Linked DNA regions of Oryzias latipes. The protein of the gene in region 1 binds, or shares a complex with, the protein of each later gene. Links are inferred from orthologs where the notes say so. Each region holds a gene or a part of one and is shown on either strand. Other genes may lie near its edges.

Region 1 (6,645 bases):
GTGTGCAGGATAAAAGTACCTTGAACTAGGGGTGGATTTGCCTGATGAAGGTTGAGGTGTACTCTTCCCTGAGGGTCCTGGGCTCTGAGAGCTGGGCTCCATTTTAAGCCTTTTGGCCGCCGGCGAGTCGGCACTAGGACCCTGTGGCGGTCTCTTTCCTGTAAAAAGCAGAGGTTTGATCACAACAGCAAAACAGGAGTCCCCACCTGTGCTGACACGGGTCGTCCTGTTCGAGGTCACGTTCCTAGACGTGTCCGAGTGCAAAAACCTGCCTTGCTCTAGTTTGCTGGCGGCTGCCCGGAGCGTGCTGGAGGTGGAGCCGGAGTCGATGGAGGGCGTCCCTGGACGGCTGCTGGTCCTGGAGCTGCCTGCAGAGCCGCGGCCTGCCGCACGTTTGGGGGGCGTGCGCTTCTTCTGAGAAGAGAGGAGGGGTGACGCTTTTAAGTTTACATGCTGAACATCCGATTCCCCCTCAGTTTGCTTTATTTTTGTTCAATAAATGTTTCTTTTATAGGTCAAAACTGCACATAAAATAGATTTTTTCTTATTGCCATTTTATCAAAAGGATTTGATCTTTTACCAAAGTGACCAATGGTTCTTTGCAGCTGAGCAAATCCAAATGTGGACTCAAAAATAAAAAGTCACAAGTTTCATGTCAAAATACATGGAAATTGAGACTTCAAGAACAAAAAAACGTAAAATCTGCTTCTGGAAAAATTGATGCCTTTTGAAAAGAAACATGATACTTAAAGAGGAATAACACTAAAAACAAAACTAACCGCCATGAACAGAGCAGAGGCCGTCTCTCCCTCAATGTCGCTGTCGTCCGAAGTCTCTGACTCCCCGCTGCTGTCTGCGACAAATGAGCCTACATGACTTTTTCCCCTCAGATACCTCTAATCATTTAAAAAAAAAAAACTTGTATAACTGATACCTTTTTTCTTTTTCTTTTCCACCTGAACCGGAGTCTTCTTTCCTTCCTCCTCCTCTTCTTCCTCCTTTGCTTCTTCTTCATTCTGGTTCTCCTCCTCGCTCTCCTCCTCGCTCTCAGATGCCTCATCTATGCCTATTTGAGCAGAAACCAACAGGGTAGCCGTTCATTTCTCTATAAAATGTCCTTTTTAAAAAAAAAACAGCTAAATGTTCCTAGTGTAAAAACAAAAACCTTTAGGGTGCTCCTCCTGTTTGTTTGGCTTCTCCTTTGTTAGCTCCTCCTCTGAACTAAAAAGGAAACAAATGATCTAAAAGTGTCACGCATTTAGCTTTAGTTTGAATTCAAAGAACGTAGAAAATCAAAAATGCAGACTTGTTCTTCTAAAAAGACCAAATAAAAACATGTTCTTTCTTTAATATGTATATGTGGTAAATACGCTGAGGAGCCCACCTGCTTTCATCTGACATATAATCCACCTCTAGACCCTCATAGTCTCCATCATCGCTGTCTTCCAGGGCATCCTTCTCATTGCTCTTTTGTTTCTTTTTCTTTGCTTTCCCTTTGGCTTTGTCTTTCTTTGCCTTTGCTTTGTTTTCTCCATCTGCAAACGAAGAAGAGACGGAAGCTGCAGGTGAGGAAAATGAGCTGACAGACGTTTGGAGGAAGGGGCTGAGCGCCCTGACAGTTCTGGAGCCTGCTGCATGGATCCTTACCATCTCCCATGCTGTTGTCGCTGTCGTCGCTGCTCATCTCCAGGTCTTCATCCAGATCATGAATTCGCAAATCTCCACCCTTCCCGCCCCCTTTCTTTTTCTTCTTTCCGGGTTTGTCGGCGTCATCGTCATCCTCCTCGCCCCGCTCCTGTTCCCGGAGGCGTCTCTGAAGCATGATGCTGAAGTGATTCACCACCTTGTTCCGCCTGGACAAAGAAGGAAATGACTTTTAAAACACAAAAGGCATTCTCCAAGTCCAGCTTGCTGCTCTGCTAACCTGCCCCACTCCTCCTCAGCTTCCTCTGCAGTCAGAGTTCGGTGCTTCGCCACCGGCGTGAAGTTGTACCAGCCGTGAACGGGGAAAGCCTCGAAGGCTCCATCAGGACACTGCGTAAAGATGTAGTAGGATGCATTTTCTGTCACGCCGCCCTTCTTTATACCTTTGAACCTGATGCAGAAAGACAAATATTATAGCCAGACTGAAGATTGTAGAACTGGAATCATAGGAGAATCTTGCTGCAATAAACATTTTAGGAAAAATAAAAAACACACCAACAGATTTTGTTAAAAATTGGTGAGGATTACACCAAATCTTACTCAGTACGAAGACGTATTTGCTCATTTTCTACAACGGTTAAATAAATATGGTTTATTGATTTTCTTTATTTGAAGAAAAAAAAGTCATAACTTCAAGAAAGCCTGCAGGTAAATTAAAAAAAAAAAATGTACTTAAGTTTCAAAAATAGAAACATTTATCGCTTTACCTTTTTCCTGCTTTTCCGTTGACCTTTAAAATCCACGGCTGATCCTCCACCTTGAACTCTCTGGTCACAATGCCATACTTCTTCCGCCGCGCTTCCTCGCGCTGCTTTTTGCCAAACTCGCTCCCTGCCCCTCCCTCTGGTAACTCCTCCTCGCCATATATTCGCCGAGCACTCAGGTCGCGTTCCATGCGAGCCTGGGGGAGTGACAAAGCAGGATATTTAACTTAATACCTTTTTTTTTTTTAGAACTTTTATCAAACAAGGGAAGTCCCATCGAGATTAGAAATCTCGTTTCCAAGGGAGACCTGGCCAAGAGGCACCACATTTCAATACAAAAAATACATTTAAAAAAACATCATTAGTACCACATATGTCATAAAACGCAGTTGCTTTATTAATCCGTACTCCCTTGTATTTTGTCACAAATTTCTGAATTCCTAAGGATGTTTTAAGAGATCTTATTGTTTTTAATTATAACCAAATTTAAAATATAGATTTACTTTACTGGAGCAAAAAAGAAGACATGAAGCCCACCTGTGTCCAGGCCGAACAGTTGACTTTGTCTCCAGAATTAAAAGCCATGATGTTGTACTTCTTGCTTGTATTTCTATGGGGCAAGAAAATAAATAAAAAAATAAAAAGAGTTGTTTTTGCAAGGCGGAGTCAAGTAACACGTTGACAAATTTAGGGCAGAATGATGCAAAACATTACTATTTCAAAGGATAACGGTGTCATTTCTGTGTTATGGTCAACATTACTAACACATTACTGCTTTCATTTACTCACTTGGGGACTCTCACTGTGTATTCTGTAGTCGAAGCACTGCTGCCCCCCTGGAAGATGGTAAACAAACAAACAAACAAACAAATAATGTGGAATTTCTATTAAAAAAAGGTTTTGCTATAAGATCAGCGACCTTCTGATTGAATGAGTTTTTGCCTGCATGCAACTCAGGCTTTACAATTAGTCTCCACTGATAAATTCGTGTAACATTGTCTTCTGTAGCGCAGATTAATAAAGTTTTCTTTCCTGCTGTAACCGGAAGCTGCCGGGCTAAAATAGCTTAAATGAAACGAAAACATTTTACATGTTAATAATAATAAAAATAATCATTAAAAAAAAGTCAGAACTTACCAGAGATGTCATGATTGTTTATCAACAACTTCTGGATTTGCCAACACTTCACTGGAGCTATTAAGGGTTTACAGAAAAAGAAAGGACATTTTAGCAGGTATTTCACTAATGTTTAGTGCAACATGATCATGTCGGCCATTTTCATAATGTGTAAAAATATGATTACGTTTATTACAAAACTAGTTTTATAGACGGGTTAGAAAAAAACAAATGTTCGAAAGCAAACAATCACCGAAAACTGGTTTTATTGTGAAAGAAAATAACAATGAATGCTGAGTCTCACCAACCCGGTCGTAGAGATTTCAATGGTTAGCTCTGATTAGATCATTAGATCTCCAGCACGATAAACGAGCTCATATGGTCGTTTTAGTCCAACTTCAGACCGAGTGAAGATGCATAAAAGGAAAATGAAATACAAAAATAGTGTTGTTGTTTTTTTTAAAAGAAAAAGCCCCGCATCTCCGAGAGTAAAACACTACTACTGGTGTACCGGTGAGGTGCGCGTTGTTGCAGCGTAATCGTTCCGTCACTTTTTACGGTCGACAGGAAACCTTGGCACGTCACAAATAGTTCCTATTGAAAATGCAGACAGTAACTGGAATGAAAGAAAAAAAAATCAAACTAATAAGTAAAAACAGACTTACCAACAAAGAAAAACATATAAATTAAATTTGTTTCCCTGAAATGTAGTTTAAAATTTATAAAAACTTTATTAAAAAAGTAAAACATTATTTAAAAAAGTAATTAAATTAATTGTTTCCTTTAAAAAATAATGATTAGGCTGTGAACACAGTGTTAAGAGCCGATTATGCTTGAGTGCACCTGAATGTAAGGAAAGGAAAGTGTAAATGCCATTCACAATTTTTACAATTTGACAATTAATCTGTGATCATGGCCGGCCCTCCCTATACGCGAATTACGCAGCCGCGTAGGGCCCCCACATCACCAGGGCCCCGAAGTGGCGAAAAAATAAAATAAAAAAAAGACCCAAATCTGGCAACCTATTTCATAGCTGTGAATGTTGTGCAAAAGAAAGTTGGCTGCACTTTAATGATCCCCCTTGTCAACAAACCTGAACCAATCTGGCAACCCAAATAATGACGTTACGCCACTCTCAGCAACGATTGGCCAACATCACTGCATCTGAGCCTGGCACAGTGTGCATTTACGAGCGCATTTTGTTTCAATAAAGTTGAGAAAAGAAAAAAAAATAGCTCATTTTGTCACGCTGATCAAAGCGACAACAAGAGCACTTCATGCCAAAGAGACTTTATCCATCAGGAGCTGAAAAAAGATGAACAACTTCAGCATCAATCACAAGGTAAGTTTGGAGGATGATGGGGCCATATTTTTTACATTATCCAGTATTTCTGTGCATTCGCGATTTAAAATACTAATTGATCCGAAGTTCGGTAAAGTTAGAAAGACAGGTGAAGTTTGCACATAAACGACCCCGTTTGTTGTAATTTCCAATGGAAAACTCTAAAATAATTCTGATACCCAAGTTTCCTGGATGAGGTCAGACAGGACCTTCCAAAACGGCGAAGAGAAGATTAAATAACGACAACGGTGATGGCTGATAAATGTTTAACTCACGTTATTGTATTGTTTAATTGTTTTGCTAACACATATTTAGTGCGTTCTGCATTTTCCGGTTTACGTCAGTATAGAAACTGCTGTTTATCTGTTATAGACAGTCTGGTAGTCTGACTTTTTCAACAATGTGTCTTAAAATCTTGCATTGGCATGGAATATGGAGAATCAAAACTGCCAAATACAAGTAGGAAATAAAGGTTCTAATTTATTAATGACAAATAAAATAAATGTACTCATTTTAAAATTATGAACATACAAAATAATAGAATAAGAAGTGTATAAATGCTTATATTTCCATTTATACTCAAATTATTATTCACATTTATTATTTATAAATAGGTACATTTCTTTCTCATTTGTATTTCGCAGTTTTGGTTCTACATAATGAGGATGTTTTGCACAGTTCCGTGTCAGCCAACATTTTCTTCTGCTCTCAAAAAGTATCAAAAAGTATTGGAGGAGGTGCAGCATCCACATCCCCTCATGTGGCATGTAAAGTAATTTAAAAAACAGTGTCTGCATAACCCCTTTTTTTCCATAAACAGCGGCTGAAGAGTATGGAGCCCTAAACTGTTCTTAATAAATAAATAAATATGATCTTGTGCAAATATATAATCAAACAATCTATTTTTCATAAATATATAAAAAGATCATGACATTGTGAAAAACCTGCACACAGATTTTAACCGAACCACTAAACTATTAGTAGTATTCTGCTATAGTTATTTTATTAACTTCATCATTAATTATTGTATAATGATTCTTGTTTTTTAGCTGCAGAGGAAACTCCTGTCACCACATCTTCTGTTGAAAGGGAAAACGTTGATGCTGCTGCTGGTCAGTTCAAATCTACCCAATATGGAACCCAAATCAAACTTATTGTTTCATTATTACTTAAAAGACAGTTATACATTTGTGCACACACGCACAACAGTGAAGGCACTTCTTTCCAACATTCTGCACTAGATATATCTCATTTATATTACAACAACAGTTGCGTTTTGTTGGTGCTGCTGATCAGTTAGAGGGCCCACAAATTAAATCTCGCTTAGGGCCCCCGGAAGACCAGGGCCGGCCCTGTCTGTGATAAAAGGATTTGCCTGTCCCATCATGAACTAATAAGTTAGAAAAGGTACAAATTGAATATGTTGTGCAATGTCTTAAAAATAAATATATATATATATATATATATATATATATATATATATATATATATATATATATATATATATATATATATATATATATGTGTGTGTATATATATATATATATATATATATATATATATATATATATATATATATATATATATATGAAGACATCACCAAATTTAATTACCATTAAAACTTAAATGTTTCAAACAACAGCTGTTTGAGTAAATGGAACCTGGGCTTTTTGTAGTGAGTCTGTATTTGAAGTTGGATAAATACTTACTTATTTTTGTCTTTTCGCACATCTAACTTGATTTGACTTGAAGTGAAAAGACATGGTGTCATTTTATCAA
Region 2 (5,592 bases), on another chromosome or scaffold:
TGGAAAACAAAGCATGCATTTTAGTTAAAAAAAATAAATAACAGACAAACATCTGAACTGGCTAAAGGCAAAGAAACCAAATTAGCAGGAATTATTCAAATTCTGAGCTCCAATAAAGTACTTCCAGCCCATTAAAACTCCCTTTTTAGCTGGAAATTCAAAGCAGGAGCCTTTATTTTGTTGCAAACATTTTTTAATTTAGGAAAAATTAAATGAAATTACATTTCTTTAAATATCTCAACAGCAGTTAAAACATAAAGAATACAGTTTCCATGGACATCCTTCCATTAGTTGTGGGTAAGACACAAGAAAACCCAAACAGAACTCAAGTTTAAAAAAAGGCACAGACGACATCCAGAGAAATGGGAATATACAGAAAATGTGCAGAACCAAAGATTTCACAGGCTGATTCAGAGGTGAAAAGAAAAGCCCTATTGATCCGTGTGCATGTTGTTATTTTATAGTCATGGTGCAGATGTGGCTACTTTTTTATTTATTTTTAATTTGTGTTTTCTTTTTTAGAAATGTACAACCCAACGGACAGGACAGTCAAAAAAAACAGGCTTTATTTCAGATTGCTGGAAAGGGGGAACCGAGTCAAACTGCAGAAACAAACACACAGCCCCCCCCCCCCCCCCCCCCTCCAGTTAAACTCACCTTTGATACAAAAAAAAAAAGTTTAGCGTAAAATAAGACAGAAAAACATTTATGTAGCGCTTGTCCAGCTGAAGAAGAAAACTAAAAAGGAACACTTACTGGATAATAAGAGCACAGTTTGGTGCGGCTTTCAGATCTTTCCAAGAACGTCCCGTGAACTTTTAACAATAAATAGATGATGCGCACCCCTCCCCTTCTCTAGTGTGACTGGCATTTTGAGACTGCAAGGTGTGCAAAAGAAAGACGTATGTTGCAGCTATCGCACGCCTGCACCGTCGATCCGCGTCTCACACACAAATGAACAGAAGAGACCTCGCTGCTGCTGATGCTGCTATGGATTTCCTGGACTGACTGAGCTCACGGACGTCGATAAACCCACAGTGCAAGTCCTCCCACGGCTGCAGCTGACTAAAGGAAGAGCGGAGATACACCGGCGTGGCAGCCTCACATCTTCTATGCAATCCCAAAATGAACTTTGGGGCTTTTTGAAAAAAAAAAAAAAAGATGGAATGAAGCTCCAGCAAAACGGGGTTAAACATCTGTGGATTAAAATTGATTTTTGAAGATTGTTTTTGTACCTTGTTTTTCCCAGGAGCCTCGGATCTGACGCTAAAAGATAATTTTTTAAAAAGATTGGACTACATAAAACAATTTGGAGCACCATTTTTCATTTTTCACATGGAAACAAAACTACAACCAAAAAAAAAAGCTGAGTCATTCTAAAAGGCAGCGGTTCTGACTGGTGGCACTAAGTTTGGACTTCCATGAATCCAGTCGACCGATTACAGTGCATTAAAAATGTGTGTCTATCGGGTTATGAGAGACCGCAGAGTTCCTTCTGGTCCGCAACACCTGTACGACATGAAATGACTGTTTTGGGGGAATTTTGTCAGAAGAAGGCAGAAGCCTTAAAGGGAAAAATAAACCAAAAAAGCTCTGTTCACAGGCTCTCCAGTGTCCTGTCGGTTTCTCATCCCGTAAACGCTGGTCGAGTGTTTTTCCACGTGTCATGTCTTACAGCAATCCTTTGGGTTGGATGAGTTCTCAAAGACTCTCGCTTTACCTTCCTGAAGGAGTTCGGACGCAGGATGTGAAAGGACGCTGAAGTATCAGTTTGCTGGATAAAAACAAGTTAGGAGTTCGTGCTTCGCCCGTCTCCCCCGCCTCACCACTCGGCGTCTCCGATGGATTTGGAAAAGACATAATCTCTGCCGTTCAGGTTCATTATCCCGTCTTTCAGGTGGAACTTCCATTTGTTCTTACTTCTGTGGATCTGAGGAGCGAGGAAGAGGAGGAGGAGAAGAATGGGAGAGTTCAGAACAGAGGGATGCTGCTGGAGCTTACCCTGATGCTACACCGCCGATCACTTCCATTGAAAAAGTCTAAGTAACCCTTTTGGGCTTCCGCGGTCAAAACTGTCACATTCACGGGTCGCTACACGTTTTTAAGTCAAGGAAACAATTGAACGCACGCTGAACGTTCAACCAATTGACTCTGCTTTAGTAGGGACGTATGGATGGCGTCCTTTTCAAAACATGGAAGTGCCAACCCTTTGATTAATTGATTATGAGGGAGTAATCAATAACTGTGGCTTGTGCTCGGCTAGAATGACGTCACATCAAGTCTTTCATACATCAGACTGAAGGAAAAAGGCCTGGGGCAAAGATTTGCACTGCTTCAACATTTCAGACCAAGCCTCTTCCAACGGTGAGTGCGTGCACCGGTAGCGACAGTCCAGTGTGAACACCGATGGCTAAACGTGAACGTAGCTTGACGCTCATCTCCTACCTTGTCATACTGGCACACCACGACATTCTCCGTGTCGAACAGCTCCTGGTTTTCATCATCACTGACATCATCTCCACTGTTCAGAGGCTCCTGGTGACCAAAAAACCCAAAGACTTCAAAGATCCACTCCAATCATCTTTTGATCGATTTTCAAAGCGTTCCCAGTGGTCTTTTAAAAATTATTACGCAGCTTTTAACCCCCCCCCCCCAAAAAAAAAAAAAAAATTTGCAGGGCGGCAAAAGTTCATTAGAAATTTGCCTCCGAGTTGTGGGCGGGATCAGTGACGTGGAGCGACCTCATCCCACAGCAGAGGACTTGGAGCAGGAAGCTCGAGGTATTATCTACGTCACAAATACGATCTTTTTAAACCGCAGTTGTTGGTCGATTAAAACGATCAATTTAATAGGTTTATCTTAAGATCCATCCAGGTTTATCTCTTCGAGGCAAGTTGTTCATTGAAACGCCCTACACCATAAAAAAATGTTTCAAAATGAAATGAATACTCAATCTTAGAAAATACCATTTGGATTGAGACTTGGCAGGTTTATTTCACTACAATGTAAAAAACGACCATCACATAGACATGATGTCAGCAAAAAACGATCGGTTCCATCATTCCGGTCCAATGAGTGGAAACACTCAATTTAGCAAAGTCATGTGACCATCCAGTGTGCTAGAATGTTCCCTTTGGATTACCTGGATGTGGAAAAACATTAGTGGTCCAAACTTTAAGAAACTAAAATGTAATCTGATTTGAAATCAACTGTTGTTTACATGTTTGTACACATTTAATTTACACTCAAATATCAGTACCCAGGTGCCGTTCAGTACTCAGGTATTGTTCAGTACTCAGGTAAGTCACACTAGTGGAAGTTTTGGCTAAAGATGGATCTGTTTTAGATCAGCGAACTGGATCGTTCAAACTGAATAAATAGACTTTTAATCGTCTTGGGGATCACAAATTATGACAGGAATCATCTGTGAAATGCTCAGAAATACAATTAGAAGCTTAATTTCCGTTATAAATGCCACAACAACATGTTAAAAACACCATAAACCCTGGACTGGCTCAACACTCACCTCTTCAACTTGCCCGTCTTCCCCACCGGTTTTATCTTTCTCCTCTTCGTCATCTTCGTCGTATTCCTCCTCTTCGTCCTCGTCTTCATCAGAGGACGAGTCTCCAGTTCCATCCAGCTGCACCATCATGGCGGGCTGCTGCGCCTGCGGTTGGGCCTGAGGCTGCTGCTGCGGGGCTGCCGGCTGGGCTGGGGCCTGAGCAGCGGCCACAGCTGCCCCCTGCTGGACCTGAGCTGCTGCTGCCTGGCCGGGCTGCGGCGCCATCGCTGCTGCTTGCATCACCTGGCGGCAGCCAGAGATGAGAGCAGAGTCATTACGTAAACCTAGAGCAACATCCCACAAAAAAAATAATAATTGGGAAAACATTAATTGGTGCTCTGACCTGTGTGGTCCCTTGAACTTTATTCCCTGGAGCCAAAACGATCTGCTGCGGCTGAATGATGACTCCTGCTTGCTGGGGCAGTCCACCCTGCAGAGGAGCTAAAACCTGCACGTTTGCAAGAAAAGGACTCCAAGTTTTCAGAAATCAATTCCCAGACTGGTTTCATGCTCAAAAGGATGACCTCACACATGGACTGTACCTGCTGTATAATGGGGGCCTGCACGCCGCCAGGCTGCATCTGATTCTGCAGGACGATCTGCTGCTGAGGCTGGATGATGTACTGAGTCCCGTTGGGAGCCCGGACCACCTGCAGGAGCTGACCTGCATCAACAGGAAAACAAAAAAACGTTTTGAGATCCAACCACGCTAAAGTCCAAAGGAACGGTGAGAGCTTTACCTTGGCTTGTGATGAGCTGTTGGTAGGGGGTGACCCCTGTGGGCAAAGCAAGGGTTGCTGCAGTGGCTGCTGCGGTCTGCAGGAGGAAACACAGAAAGCCGCTCCAATTATACCAGAGCACAAAAAGGTGGATTTTCTAGGTGATAAAAAAAGAAAAAATCTTCTTTTTTCTTTTCATTTAAGCCTTAAAGGTTTCAAACATGGTCCATCACTTAAGGAAAAGCTATAGCGGCGGCTAGGTTTCAAGCTCAAAAAGACAGATGGCCTCCCCACAAGAAAGCTTTTCCCTTTCTCGGTTTTGTTCTCCAGGTCCTTGTTGAGAAAAAAAGTCCTCTCCCAAAACCCACAGCCCGGCTAGTTTTCCTAACCGTCGCTTCCTTGATACTATCCCAGATATTCCCCGGGTGGATTTGTGCGATGACAAAACGGGACGTTTGGGAGAATTTTTGGTTCTCAAGTGTGGCGGTGCAGTTTTCAGCTTGTAAGATGCTACTCACCATTCCCGTTGAATTCATGTGCTGTATCATTTTAGAGTCCTGAACTATGACCTGCTGCTGGGGAGCTGTTGAGAATAAAACACATTATTTCAGGTTGAAAAAAAAAAAAAACAACACACGTCCAGGCGACGTTTGTATGTCAACGTGCGGACTCGCCTTGTTGCTGCGAGGGAATCTGGATAACCTGCTGGGCCGGCGCGGCCTGGGCCACCTGCTGGGCCTGTTGGGAGTGCGGGTGCTGCTGCTGAGCGGTCTGCAGGGCCGCCTGCTCCTCGGTGTGGAAGCCCTCCACCGCCTTTGACTGCAGCAGCTTGTTCTCCCACAGCTGAAAGACAAGACTCCAGATGAATCTGACCAAACACGGAGCTGCATGTGTGTGTGTGTGTGTGAGGGGGGGGGGTTATAACCTTCTCTCAGTAAAATGAGACGGATTACCGTTTTCAGCTCCAGAAGAACTTGCTCGTCCACCCCTTCATCCAGGAACAGCTCCCGCACCTCATTGATCACATCCTCAATAACAGACTTGTATAATTTAGGCTATGATGACAAAACAGAGCAAATACACAATTTATTGGTGGTGGTTTCAACATATATAAATGTTTACAATAAATGTAGGAAAACACTCATAAAAGAGGTGTTAAGTTTAAACGGTCACATCTTGTGTATATGGATAGATTATCCAAACCCATATATAATAATCTGCACTGATCCATTTGTCAGCAGGACTAAACGCGTCCCTCGAGACAGAGCTGCACGCGCGGGGAACTGTCACGGACAACATTCTGGCTTC
Region 3 (5,971 bases), on another chromosome or scaffold:
TAATTTATAAAAGCTGTCAGGTTTAGTTTGTGTAGAGTGCTATTCCAGATGACGCCATCAGGGGGCGCCAGACACCAGGATTTCTGTTTGAAACGCCTATTTTTTTCCTTTCACACCTAATGATGATTCAGCATATTATTTGTTTTTGTCCACATAGTTTTCAATTAATCTTTTAGCAATGCCCCTTCTTAAGTTTTTATTTTATTTTACTGGGATGAATGTATTTATGTTCACTTTCTTTTGTTGTTAAATGTGTCTCATTTCTGAAATTTGAGGTTTTTTTATCTACTGCTGTCACTTCTCTGCATCGCTTTAATCTCTCAGTGGTAAAGTTCTGTTTGTATCGAGTTGGACCAGGTTACATTGGTCTTTGTAGTCCATGTTATCCGTCTGCACCAAAACATGATAAAATAATCAGTTTTTGAGTGTAAAAGGATTTTGAACTACATTATCCAGAGTACCGTTTTAAATGAGCAGACATTCACATTACCTGGACATCTTGTGTTTTTTCCATAGCTGTTAAAACCACATCAGTGACAGTGAAGTTCAATAAAAATGCACTCGTTAGCTCCTTAAATGTACACATCTGTGAGTAAATGTGGATTTGTTGACGCTGACTTCCTGTTTTCTCCGTCAGCATCCATCCGTGCTGGGGTGTAAGTGTTGGGATTGTGTGTTTGGTGGTGGATCTGAAACAAATAGCAGACCTCCTCTGACAGTTTGCTGGAGGACCTGAGCGTGGTCTCTCTCTCTCTCTCGTCTCAGGCTTCAGGGGACAAACGGAAACCAGCACACCCCCATCTCCACGGCAACCGTCTCCATGGTGCACAGTGTCCCTGAACTGATGGTCAGCTCTGAGGTGAGTCACGATGGCAGCTGTCTGTGCGTCCACACTTCAAGCTGAGTTCATATCCAAGACGAAGCTCTCAGTCTGAGGTTAAAGAAGTGTTCCTGCAGTGGACCACACGCTGGTTCTTCTACAAATGAATGTTTGAAAACGGTGGAGAAAATGTACCCATAAGCCTGTCATACTCGGCTTCACCGGCGGGGTTCTCCTTTGTTTGGCAGCAAGCCGAGCAGCTGGGCAGAGAGGACCAGCAGAGGCTGCACCGGAACAGGAAGCTGGTCCTCATGGTGGATCTGGACCAGACGCTCATCCACACCACAGAGCAGCACTGCCAGCAGATGTCCAACAAGGTACAGCTCAAGGCGAAGCCCAGGAGGCAAACCTGGCTTTAGGTCCTGGAACAAAGTGGGTTCTAAAAAGCTCGGTACTGTCAGAATTAATGGCTTTGTTCTGGAGGAGAAGGGTTTCTCTGATTTCTGCCTGCAAAGTCACCGGTCAGATTCTAATGTGGGGTTTCTGAGGGAATCAGTCTGCCAGAGCTACACCACTTCATGCTGCTGGTTGGGGGTTCAAACGCTCTTGGGCAGGAACCCACATTGCCTCGATCTGTAAGTCGCTTTGGATAGAACCCAAACATGTTTAAAAGGTGAAGAATAATCCAAGAAATGCATCCCTGTTTCCCAGCAGGCCTTGCAGGGGAAGGGCCTGTTCCCATCAGGGAAGGGCCTGTTCCCATCAGGGAAGGGCCTGTTCCCATCAGGGCCCTGTTGGTGTTTCTACCTTCACCTGCTGCAGGAGTCTGTTATGTCACAAATCACATCTTTTGCAGACATGACATGTTATGTCATGTCTGTTCAGGGGAATAAACATAAATCTGTCACATTTGAGGAGAAGGTTGATGCTTTCAGAGGACGAGAGCTTCATCACTGAGGGCCTTTCCTGGTCTTCCTCAGATGTAAACAAACGTCAGACTAAAAACCTGACGGCTTCTTTTCTTTGCTTTCTGGATTAAAATCCCACTTTTTAGTTCAAACATCACATCTGTCGTTGTGTGAATGGACTCGTTTTTGGTTCAGTCTAAAAGTTTTCTCTGTAAACTGACTTTAAGAAAATGTGTTTCCCAGATATCAGATTTGGTTTTTGAGTTAATTCAGATCATCTTCAGTTACTGGATCTAGAAAAACTGTCCTTAATGTTGTCATTCTTGTTTTTGTTTTGTCTTTTTAGAACCTGAATGTTGAGTTGAGGAGAAAGTTCACTTTGATACGTCTCTGTGTGTGTTTGCTTCAGGGCATTTTCCACTTCCAGCTGGGCCGGGGCGAGCCCATGCTGCACACCCGCCTGCGCCCCCACTGCAAGGAATTCCTGGAGAAAACGGCCAAACTCTACGAGCTGCACGTCTTCACGTTCGGGAGCCGCCTCTATGCACACACTATTGCTGGTAAACGCAGGTTTTGCGGAGCTGTGCCCTCATGAATGCACCTGAGTGACGGACGGAGTGTGCAGCCCCCGTAACCAGCGTTGCTGTACTTCCCGCACGCGTCCACTAGAGGGAGCTGTTCGCTCCTCTCTCAATCTGTGGTGCTGAAGTTCCAAACAAATGATTGAATGAAGTTTTTAAAGCTGCACTTTCTTCCTCATAAACCTTTCACTGCTTTATTGAAGGCTGTGAGTTTCTCTGGAATCTTCTTGGTATTCATGCTGCACTCTTTTATTTGACTATTCATAATGACAGCAGCTTTGTTCTGGCACCGCTCTGCCGCCTCATGATGAATGTTTCATGCATTTGGATTGGATTTTTGCCTTCACTGATGCAGAGCGTCCGTACATTTCAGAATCAGAGCAGCTTTTATTGACCGATTTCTCCCCAAAGCATGACGACTTTCCAAAAACCTCATGGCACAGAGGGAAAGCCAGAGAAGAACCAGATAAACGCCACAGCCCAGGGTTTTCTGTAGAACACATCTCAAGGTAAAGCTTTAAAAACACTTCTCTGTTCTTCTTTTTTTTAGGTTTTCTGGATCCCGAAAAGAAGCTTTTCTCCCACAGAATCCTTTCTAGAGATGAATGCATCGATCCGTTCTCCAAGACGGGAAACCTAAGGTGAGGAACATCCGCTCTGCTGTTCAGTTTCCTGTGTTGCAGCAGAACCAAAGGGATTTTCAGAGACGGTTTGGCGCAACTGATCACGTGACCGACATACTTCCTTAAGCCCTGGTCATTACTGCCCTTACTGGTAGATGCAGGCTGTCTGTGACACACGGGCATGCTGTTGGCCCGTACCAAGTATAAAGGGGTAAACCGCTCGGTGAACCTGCAGAGCAATAATCTTCACGCTTTTTTTTTCTACAATCATGCCGTTAATTTATGAAATGTCAGGATTTCTCTTAAGGTGGCTTCACAAGCCTCAAGATCGATTCGGGATCACAGAGAAATAATGAAACGGAGCAATTTGCATGTATAATGTAAACGGAGCCGCTGTAAAACAGCCTCTGTGTCGGAAGACGTATGTGTGGACAAATCCAGAACCCTTTCAGACCCGATGAAGATGACTAAGAATCACCTTTCAGCCTGGAAGGAAAAAGCTGGAAGAACACTATCCGAGCCGTAAAGCACGGTGGTGGTAGAACCAGGATGGGGTTTCATTAGAACGGTTAAGGTCTGCTCAGAACTGTCTGCATTCAGTGAGACCTGCAATGTTTACCCCTCTCTGGGAGGGTGTGTTTGGTTCTAAGGGGTTCCATCATATAATCCCAGGCATTTGTTTAGCGTTTCCTCCCAGTCGTAGTGAAGGTGGAAGGTGTTTGTGTTTGAAGTTGCTGCCTGTTTCTGAGGGAAGGGTGTGTTTGCAGGTACCTTTTCCCCTGTGGGGACTCCATGGTCTGCATCATCGATGACCGCGAAGACGTTTGGAAGTTTGCTCCGAACCTCATCACCGTGAAAAAGTACGTCTACTTCCAGGGAGCCGGAGACATCAACGCCCCCCCGGGATCTCGGGAAGCGCTGGCGGCCAGTAAAGGTACCCGAACATCCCGTCAACACAGCCGGGATGAAGACGAACTCGACCCGTCCAAGTCGCCAAAAAACTCACCTTGTCCCGCAAATCAGCGATTTGGCTGAAGTCGGCACAGGTGTTGACCCGCCTGCAGTAAGGGCTCATTCTGGGGGGGGGGGACCGGTTTGTCTCCGAAAGTCGGGCTTTGTACTTGAACCCGTAGGAGCTTGCAGTCTGCGTGCTCTCTGCTCTAGAGGCGGACCGTCCTCAAGCCTCACCTCTGGTGTTGGGTTTTTAAGGTGTGGATGTCCTGCAGGCTGCTTCTTCATTGGGGGGGGGCGGCTGTCTTCTATTGGCTCTGTGTTTGAGGGGGACCTGGTCGCTCACAAGAGGGGTGGCAGAACATCATTAGCCGGAAAAAGAAATGCTACAAGACTTCAGAATTGTGGCATCTCAGTGTGCAGCATGAGCTTAAAACGGGGCAAAAGGGGTCATTCTTTTATTTCTTTTTAAAAAGGATCTAAGCAAAAGTGTTCAGAATTGTAAAAGTGTTACACCGGAGCTTTAGCTTTAACCAGTGTTTACATTACTTCACTGTAACTTTTCAACTCGATTAAAGTGAATCAGAGTATTCCGTTGCAGAGAAAGGCGACTTTGCGGCAGTATGAAACACTTTATATGCAGATCGTGGGAAAAGCTGGTTTGAATTGTTCTTTACTGGCAGAAAGACTCTTTTCTCTGCAGATCAGCTGATTCAAGTTAATCGCAGAAGAGATTGACAAAGACGTCTCCCGTGTTAAAGTTTTAACTCTAAAAGCTGGAAAAAAAACGTAACTCTTAGGGTCACCAATTAAATTTGTGGTTTTGGACCCAAAAAAAACCCCAAATATTCTCAGACTGAAATGGGAAGGGGGTGGGGGGGGAGACGTAGAGCTTCAGTTTTGGCTAATGATGTATTGCCGCCATGTTGTCTTCAACCAGTTCCTCTTGCAGTGTTTCCCCCTCCCTTTCTACATGACGTAACATCCTTTTATGTTTTAGTAAACACGTGTTCACCAGAGCAAATAAACCTCAGGCACAGAAGAGGTTTATGCAAATAAACTCCTGTGAGACCAAAGTTCACAAAAGTCCTGCTAGAGCAATAACATCTGTCCAACTCAAAAGTCTCTTGAGTTCAAAGTAAAAACTGGTTTGAAAGACCCACTCTGATGAAAATGGTGTTTTTTTAAAGCATTTTTCTGATGATGGAGGACAAATATGAAGAAAATTTAGCTTAAAATTGCATTTCTGGCTTTTCTTTATTCAAATATATGTGAATCAGGAGCAGAAAAAAATGCAGTTTGAAAAAGATGTGATTTGTGACGAAGAAAATACGTCAAAATCTCCCTGCTCTGCTCTATTCTGATCATCCACCTGCAGACAAAAAGATCCATGAATCTCTTTGATTTCCTGGTCTGAGCTGGAATCTGGATCAGAACTGAACGGATGGATAGATCTGATGTAGCTAAACATTTCTGTTGAACTGCTAATGTCAGGTTGGGGGTGTGAGGGGCTGTAAGGTAGTGGGATAGAGTGGAAACAAAGGGATGATGGGAATGGAAGCGGGCTTACTCCATGCCAACAGTCCCGTCCACAACTCAAAGGTGAATTTCTGATGACCTCCGGTCGCTCTGCAGAAACTGTGTCCTAGAGAACAACACAGGATTTTGGATTTTCATCATTAGAAGAGCACTGGGAACACTTTTACAACAGACCCCAAAGAAAAGTGAGACTTTAAGGAGAAGCAGAAACAAGTTGAGCATAAATCCTGAAAACAGTCCAAATGTTGGTGTTTACCAGTGGAATAAATGTGGAATTTTGTGTTTGTACAAAGTTGGAGAAGTCAAAGTTGTTTTTTTTCAGGACTTTGCTGCGCTCCTTCTCCAGCCCCCGCCTCCTCAGATGATTTCCTCTCCAGCGCCTTCAGAGAACAAAGCACACAAGCAAACTTCCTTCCCTTCACATGCCTATTTCTGACAGCCTGGCAGTTTGATTTCACGCTCCAGCAGAGTCGCCTCTCTGGAGCGCCTGTTATCCCGCTGGAATATCCTCCTCCTGAAGTGTTTGCTAAAAGGCGCCAGGGCAGCAGC
Region 4 (5,627 bases), on another chromosome or scaffold:
ACACACAATGACACAAACAGGATGAGGAACCTTCTGGTCTGATGGTGATACCATCATCATGAGAGCTCTGATGGAGACTGATCATCGAACCAAAACAACTATTATGGATGAATATGGCTATTTTTAGAAGAGGCAATAGGAGCTTCTTCAAAAGGAGCTCAGGCTGAAGAGGAGGTTCTTCAGATGCTGACATAAGGTCCATAGTGTCTCTGAGGAAGAACGTGAAGCTTCAGCATAAACGGATTGCGCTTCTGCTTTGGCTGTTGGCGCAGAGGTGGTCATTTAACGCAGCTGCGAACACGGAGGCCTCTCAGCCGCGCGGACAGCTCGTTTCTGTGGCTTTCCTAGTGTTTCTGTCGCCGTGACACCGATCCCTGCAGCCCGTGTACACCGACTACACTCGTGAAAACTATTACCCGGAAATAATAAACATTCCACATACATCTAGAAGTTCTGTTTACCTGCGAGGCTTACTGTAGATCCAATTTGAGTAGATCCGAACAGCTTTGATATCGCTCACTATCTGTTAATGGAAGCCTAACCCGCCCCGAGTTTTTAAATTGCATCAGCCAATCGGTGTCCGCCTTTCAAAAGCAAACAGAAAAATGCCAACCAATCACGAGTGAGTATGCTTTAGGAGGCGTGTTGTAATTGGTTCGAAATATACCGGAAATTAACACCCTGAGTACGACGTTTAGTGTTTACGTCAAGAGAAGAGAGAATTTCAAACGAAACGAAAATGAGTTTTGAAATGGGAATTTAAACAAACAAACAAAAACAAAACACGTTTTGATTTGAAATGTCTAATCTTGTGCAACAATCCAAATTTATATATTTTCAATGATTTTGTGTCTTTATTCAGGAAGAACTAGAAATGTTGCCCAATTTCCTTAGTTATACATTTTCCATGAAACTAATTAGTTCCTTTTAATACTAAGTCATATGACTGAAGGAATTTTGCATTAGTCGGTTATTTCCTTTCAAAAACCAGTTAAAATCAGATATTGTTATATGAAAAATATTAAATTTCCTTCCCTTAGGCCTAATTCAGAACTTATGTCCGCTGACAGAATCCAATTTTGTTCTCAGATCTGTACACTGCTGTGAGCCAATTTGAGATTCACATTTAAAACTAGAATGCTTTAGCACTCTCGTCCAATAAATTATTTGCTTTTTACTCAGTAAAAACCTCATGAACATATGATAAAGATGTGAACATTTTCTAATATTACTAAAACATAAATTCACTCGTGTAACTCCATTAGTCGGACTAGGATAAGCCTCGTTCCTCCTCCTCAGCATGTCTGCAGCTCTATTCTCCATCTTCATCTGTAGCCACCACGTGCAGCTGATGGCAGAACCGTCCATGATGAGCACAATTGTATCTAAGGAGAAATTCACCATAAGTAAAAAAAAGAAAGCGTAGTGATCAAAACATAATTAAGATCACCAGAACAGAAGGTGCCAAACTGGGAAAATAAGTTCATTACTGATACATGAACTGAACATGACATTTGAAAGATGCTTCAGTAACAGCTTCATTTAGGCGACAGCTTTTCTCTGAGAAGCAGCTGTTTCTGCGCACAAAATATATGATTGTTCATCTGCAAATCATTTCCTTGTATTGTAGAGAGAAATATGGCCAACGACCAATCAGTTACCTGTTAACATGGACTACATTATGCTATTTTAGAGCCATATCCCTCAGGCTTTGATCCATTTATCCATTTATCTCCTGTACTAACTGAATCCTTTTCGTGGTCACAGGGCTGCTGGAGCCAATCCAGCAACAATTGGGCAAAGGTGGGGTACACCCTGAACAGGTCCCCATTCTGTTGTAGAGCCATACACTCGCATGCACACCTAAGGGACAATTTAAAATACTGGTAATCAATTGACCTACAAAGCATGTTTTTAGACTGTGGGAGGAAGCCAGAGTGCCTGGAGAAAACCCATGCATTTATAAAGAGAACAAACCCCACCTAAATTGACCCCAGGCAGGATTTGAACCAGGGCCATCTTGCTGTACGGCCACTGCTCTACAATGCAGCTCCCTTAGGCTTTCAACTAAAATACAATTTTTTTAAAATTTCACATCACATACTTTAAAGCTGCAGTTAAAGTTTACACCAAAAGTAACAGCCAGGATCCTGGCTCTGAAATTACAGATAAAGAAAGGTTTAGAGACTTTCTTTAAGCCACACAACACAGGCGGATGGACACTGATTAAAGGTTCAGACCACATAAAGTACATAAACATACCATAAACACAACTTAAAACATAAAACTTGTTTAATTTGGATTTTTTTGTTTCTTTTCTGTGTAGCATAAGAAGGGAGTCCATCCATCAGTGGCTGTGCTTTTAATTTGTTGAACAACTAGTGCAGCTTGCATCTCTTGTACTTTAACATTCTCATCTGTTTTTGCACCGGATGTCTGACTGTTTTACATCTACTTTAATTTTAAACTTTTCATTTTAATCCAATCCTATTGTTTTATTTTGTATCGTTATCATGTTTTATGACATGTGCTGCTGACCTCTTGACCAGGTCACATTGCAAAAAGGGATGTTGATCTCAATAGGCTTTTAACCTAGTTATATAAATGTTAATGAAAATAAATAATAAAATTAATAAAAAGTACATTGTTGATTTTCATCATGTTGATCTCGTATTTGTCTTTACTAGTAATTATATCCTTTTACTCAGAACAGCTACTTGTTCCCAACCCAAACTTTTTTTAGGAGACAATGGAGGCATGGCTTTGACTGCTGCTGTAAAAGAAACAAAGAACCAATTTCATATACCTACCAGGAGAGGGCGCTCCACTCGGAATCTGGATGTGTGTTCCGAGCGGAAGTTCTATATCAAGACTTCCGGTGTGTTCCCAGCGCACTGAGTCGCGCGGAAAGATGAACGCGCCTCCTGCTTTCGAGTCATTCCTTCTATTTGAAGGAGAGAAAAAAATCAGCATCAGTAAGGACACGAAAGTGCCGAACGCATGTCTGTTCACGCTCAATAAGGAGGACCACACGCTGGGAAACATCATCCGAGCGTAAGAACCGCGCATGCACAAACAGACAGACTGTCACAGAGCTAACAGTCTCTGGATGGATAGATTATAGAAGAAGAAGCCAGTTTCTGACTGGTTCTGTTAGCCCCGCTTATCATTCCTTGACGTTTTGGTTAGCTAATAAGGAGTGTTATTGTGTGACCTTTGTGTTTAATTTCCAAGACTTACATGTATAAACGAGAGTGACGCGCATGAATTTCATGCTCAATTTTCATGATGAAAACACAGTCCGTCTATGATCTATCTATGCAGCAGGGTTGTCACATATTTTTTCTCCTGTGTGTCACTGTCAGTCAGCTGCTGAAGGATCCTCAGGTTTTGTTTGCTGGTTATAAGGTTCCCCATCCCCTGGAACATAAAATCGTCATCCGAGTGCAGACCACCCCTGACTACAGTCCACAGGTAAGGCAAAGACCCAGCGTGTAAACACAAACGGTCTTATGCAGCTTTTTTCTTTGACACACTTCTTGTTTCGATTCAGTGCAAATCAGTTATGATTCAATTTTTTTGTTGATTTATTTTTACAGGCTGTATTAGATTATGAGAGCTTTTAGTGATTTAAACATTTGACAAAATTGGAGTTGTCATTCCAAAAAAATATTCTTAGAACTGCAGCAAACACCTTTTCAAAAATGACAGGAATATTGAGGTTATAAATTCCTACCTATAGAATTGTTTTCAGAGTCAAATGTTTTTGAAGTTTGTCATTTTTCATGTGTGCTTGTTTGTCATTGCTGACAGGGACTGAGGTGGTATTTCATTAAAGGAAATTGTCTTTTCAACAGGAAGCCTTCACAAACGCCATCACTGACTTGATTAGTGAGCTGTCGCTGCTGGAGGAACGCTTCAGGGTCGCCATCAAAGACAAACAAGAAGGCATTGAGTGATTTAAGCCCATCACAAAATTTCCTGTTTATCTTCATTTCTGTTGTTTTTTCTAAATAAATGTGATGCCACTCCCTGTTTTGTGAGAGACTTGATATTGAGCATCAGCTGAGATGACTCTCACAAGGAAACGGTTTGATCTTTTGGGGTCAGAATTCTTGTGTGAAAGTAGCTGCAACACAAAGCTGCATCTGATCCAGCTGATCAGTATGATGACAGGAACCTCCAAGGATCACTTTCATTCAGAAACCAAGGATTTGCTTCTCTCCGCTCAAACATTGTCAAATGAAAAAGACAAGATGGCAAAGCAACACTTTTATTGAGATTTTATAAAAACAGCATAGAATTGGGGGGGAGAGGGGTGAGGGGCATGATCGTTGTGAGGTCAGGGGTCAACATTTTTCTGCACCTCCATGGCTTGCTGCATCTTCTCCACCATCCAAATTGGAACGGTGAACGGCTTCAGCTCGTCCATTCTCACTTCAGGAGACTCTCTGCACACACACACACACATCTGTACCCATGGCAATCACAGCAACAACGGAAAAGCTAGAGCCGCCAATGACAGCCATTCTACATTTCAGTGTTAAAGGGTCTAGTATTGTGATCAAAACTTAAATGCGTTTCAGGGTGAAGTCACTCAAACTACACAATCTGCTGAAGCAACAGTAAAAACCGAAAATGTCTGCAGGTTCTGATCCATGAAGCTGAGGGTGTTCCTTCAGAGCGTTTTTGTTTTATTAAACATTTGAGATTTTAAAATATCTTTACTATCCAATGATGTGAGCTTGCTAAAGAAGAGCATTCTTCAGTTTTCATGCATTTTACATCGTGGTTTTAGAAAAAGGCTTCATAAATTGTGTTGCATGCTTTCATATCTGCTCTCGGGTTTAAAATATTTTCACTCTAATATTGTGAGAAAATGTATACTGAAAAGAAACTATTCTAAACATGATGAATGGAGATTACAAAGAAACTCTTTTTGCTCTATCCTTCCACTCATTTTTTCCCCCAAACATCTCAGTTTACAGTCTTAGCTGCTCAACCTGTAATTATAAACAATCAAACTTAAACTGCAAAGACTTGTGGGATAAGATGACCTCAACCTGAAGAATGATAACGCAGCGGTTCCTACTACAAAAGAGGAAGTAAAGCAAGGGAGTTTCTTTTCTCTACAGTGTAATTTTCTTCATTATGGTCCAAGCTGTCAGGCAGAATCCCTACAAACCTAAAGTTCAGGTGCTGTGATGTCACACTCACCTGTACTCATCACTGCAAGACAGCTCTTGGATGTCCTCTTCAACCAACAGGTAGGCCTAAGTGCACACAAACATCATCCCATCAGTCAACTCGCTGCAGTTGTTCAGGATTCCTGTCATGAATGGTCAGAGTGTAGCCTTCTCAAAACGACAATTGCAGTACAGAAAAATGTGGGATATAAATAATCTGGGATTTAAACCTCAACTGGTTAGCAGAAAGGCTACTCAACCCATCTCCCTTATGGCATAAGCAGCCATTGATAATGAACATTGACACAGTGAAATGTTTTAATCCCTTCTCTACAAGAAAACGTATTTAAAAGCATAACTTGCTGTCTGCACAGACACCCTTTAGTATCTCTGGTGTTTTAATAATCTGTGGCAGCAGGTGGCGCTGCAGTCATACATCTG

The links.
Region 2: gtf2f1 (region 1) and gtf2a1 share a complex: the UniProt entries of both Homo sapiens proteins name them as parts of the TBP-based Pol II pre-initiation complex. The link is inferred for Oryzias latipes from reciprocal best matches to the Homo sapiens genes GTF2F1 and GTF2A1.
Region 3: the proteins of gtf2f1 (region 1) and ctdp1 are in contact, whole or in part, in an NMR structure (PDB 1ONV), measured with the Homo sapiens proteins. The link is inferred for Oryzias latipes from reciprocal best matches to the Homo sapiens genes GTF2F1 and CTDP1. Residues at the interface, in NP_002087.2 of Homo sapiens: Thr470, Lys471, Leu474, Gln478, Ser486, Thr489, Val490, Leu493, Ala494, Leu497, Lys498, Leu500, Asn501, Pro502, Arg504, Met511, Phe513; in NP_004706.3 of Homo sapiens: Ala946, Asp947, Met949, Ala950, Lys951, Ala952, Leu953, Glu954, Glu956, Leu957, Asp959, Leu960, Met961.
Region 4: gtf2f1 (region 1) and polr2j share a complex: the UniProt entries of both Homo sapiens proteins name them as parts of the TBP-based Pol II pre-initiation complex. The link is inferred for Oryzias latipes from reciprocal best matches to the Homo sapiens genes GTF2F1 and POLR2J.

What each region holds. Positions count from the first base shown.
Region 1 is NC_019866.2:14,105,131-14,111,775, reverse strand, and holds the start of gtf2f1 (general transcription factor IIF subunit 1), read right to left. Parts: upstream 4,096-6,645; 5' UTR 3,829-4,095; intron 3,603-3,828; 5' UTR 3,558-3,602; coding exon 3,546-3,557; intron 3,245-3,545; coding exon 3,198-3,244; intron 3,019-3,197; coding exon 2,946-3,018; intron 2,606-2,945; coding exon 2,412-2,605; intron 2,096-2,411; coding exon 1,925-2,095; intron 1,854-1,924; coding exon 1,648-1,853; intron 1,536-1,647; coding exon 1,385-1,535; intron 1,222-1,384; coding exon 1,166-1,221; intron 1,067-1,165; coding exon 935-1,066; intron 854-934; coding exon 780-853; intron 415-779; coding exon 273-414; intron 159-272; coding exon 20-158; intron 1-19. UniProt on the Homo sapiens protein: TFIIF is a general transcription initiation factor that binds to RNA polymerase II and helps to recruit it to the initiation complex in collaboration with TFIIB. It promotes transcription elongation.
Region 2 is NC_019882.2:4,166,976-4,172,567, forward strand, and holds the end of gtf2a1 (transcription initiation factor IIA subunit 1), read right to left. Parts: intron 5,340-5,592; coding exon 5,238-5,339; intron 5,128-5,237; coding exon 4,959-5,127; intron 4,868-4,958; coding exon 4,803-4,867; intron 4,382-4,802; coding exon 4,306-4,381; intron 4,230-4,305; coding exon 4,108-4,229; intron 4,014-4,107; coding exon 3,909-4,013; intron 3,809-3,908; coding exon 3,527-3,808; intron 2,536-3,526; coding exon 2,446-2,535; intron 1,931-2,445; coding exon 1,823-1,930; 3' UTR 1,237-1,822; downstream 1-1,236. UniProt on the Homo sapiens protein: TFIIA is a component of the transcription machinery of RNA polymerase II and plays an important role in transcriptional activation. TFIIA in a complex with TBP mediates transcriptional activity.
Region 3 is NC_019869.2:25,070,531-25,076,501, forward strand, and holds part of ctdp1 (RNA polymerase II subunit A C-terminal domain phosphatase), read left to right. Parts: intron 1-765; coding exon 766-859; intron 860-1,068; coding exon 1,069-1,197; intron 1,198-2,137; coding exon 2,138-2,288; intron 2,289-2,859; coding exon 2,860-2,950; intron 2,951-3,699; coding exon 3,700-3,866; intron 3,867-5,971. UniProt on the Homo sapiens protein: Processively dephosphorylates 'Ser-2' and 'Ser-5' of the heptad repeats YSPTSPS in the C-terminal domain of the largest RNA polymerase II subunit. This promotes the activity of RNA polymerase II.
Region 4 is NC_019863.2:18,094,640-18,100,266, reverse strand, and holds polr2j (DNA-directed RNA polymerase II subunit RPB11-a), read left to right. Parts: upstream 1-2,799; 5' UTR 2,800-2,839; coding exon 2,840-3,054; intron 3,055-3,365; coding exon 3,366-3,474; intron 3,475-3,857; coding exon 3,858-3,959; 3' UTR 3,960-4,035; downstream 4,036-5,627. Other genes in the region: dnttip1 (deoxynucleotidyltransferase terminal-interacting protein 1), read right to left, coding at 4,343-4,451, 5,218-5,273. UniProt on the Homo sapiens protein: Core component of RNA polymerase II (Pol II), a DNA-dependent RNA polymerase which synthesizes mRNA precursors and many functional non-coding RNAs using the four ribonucleoside triphosphates as substrates.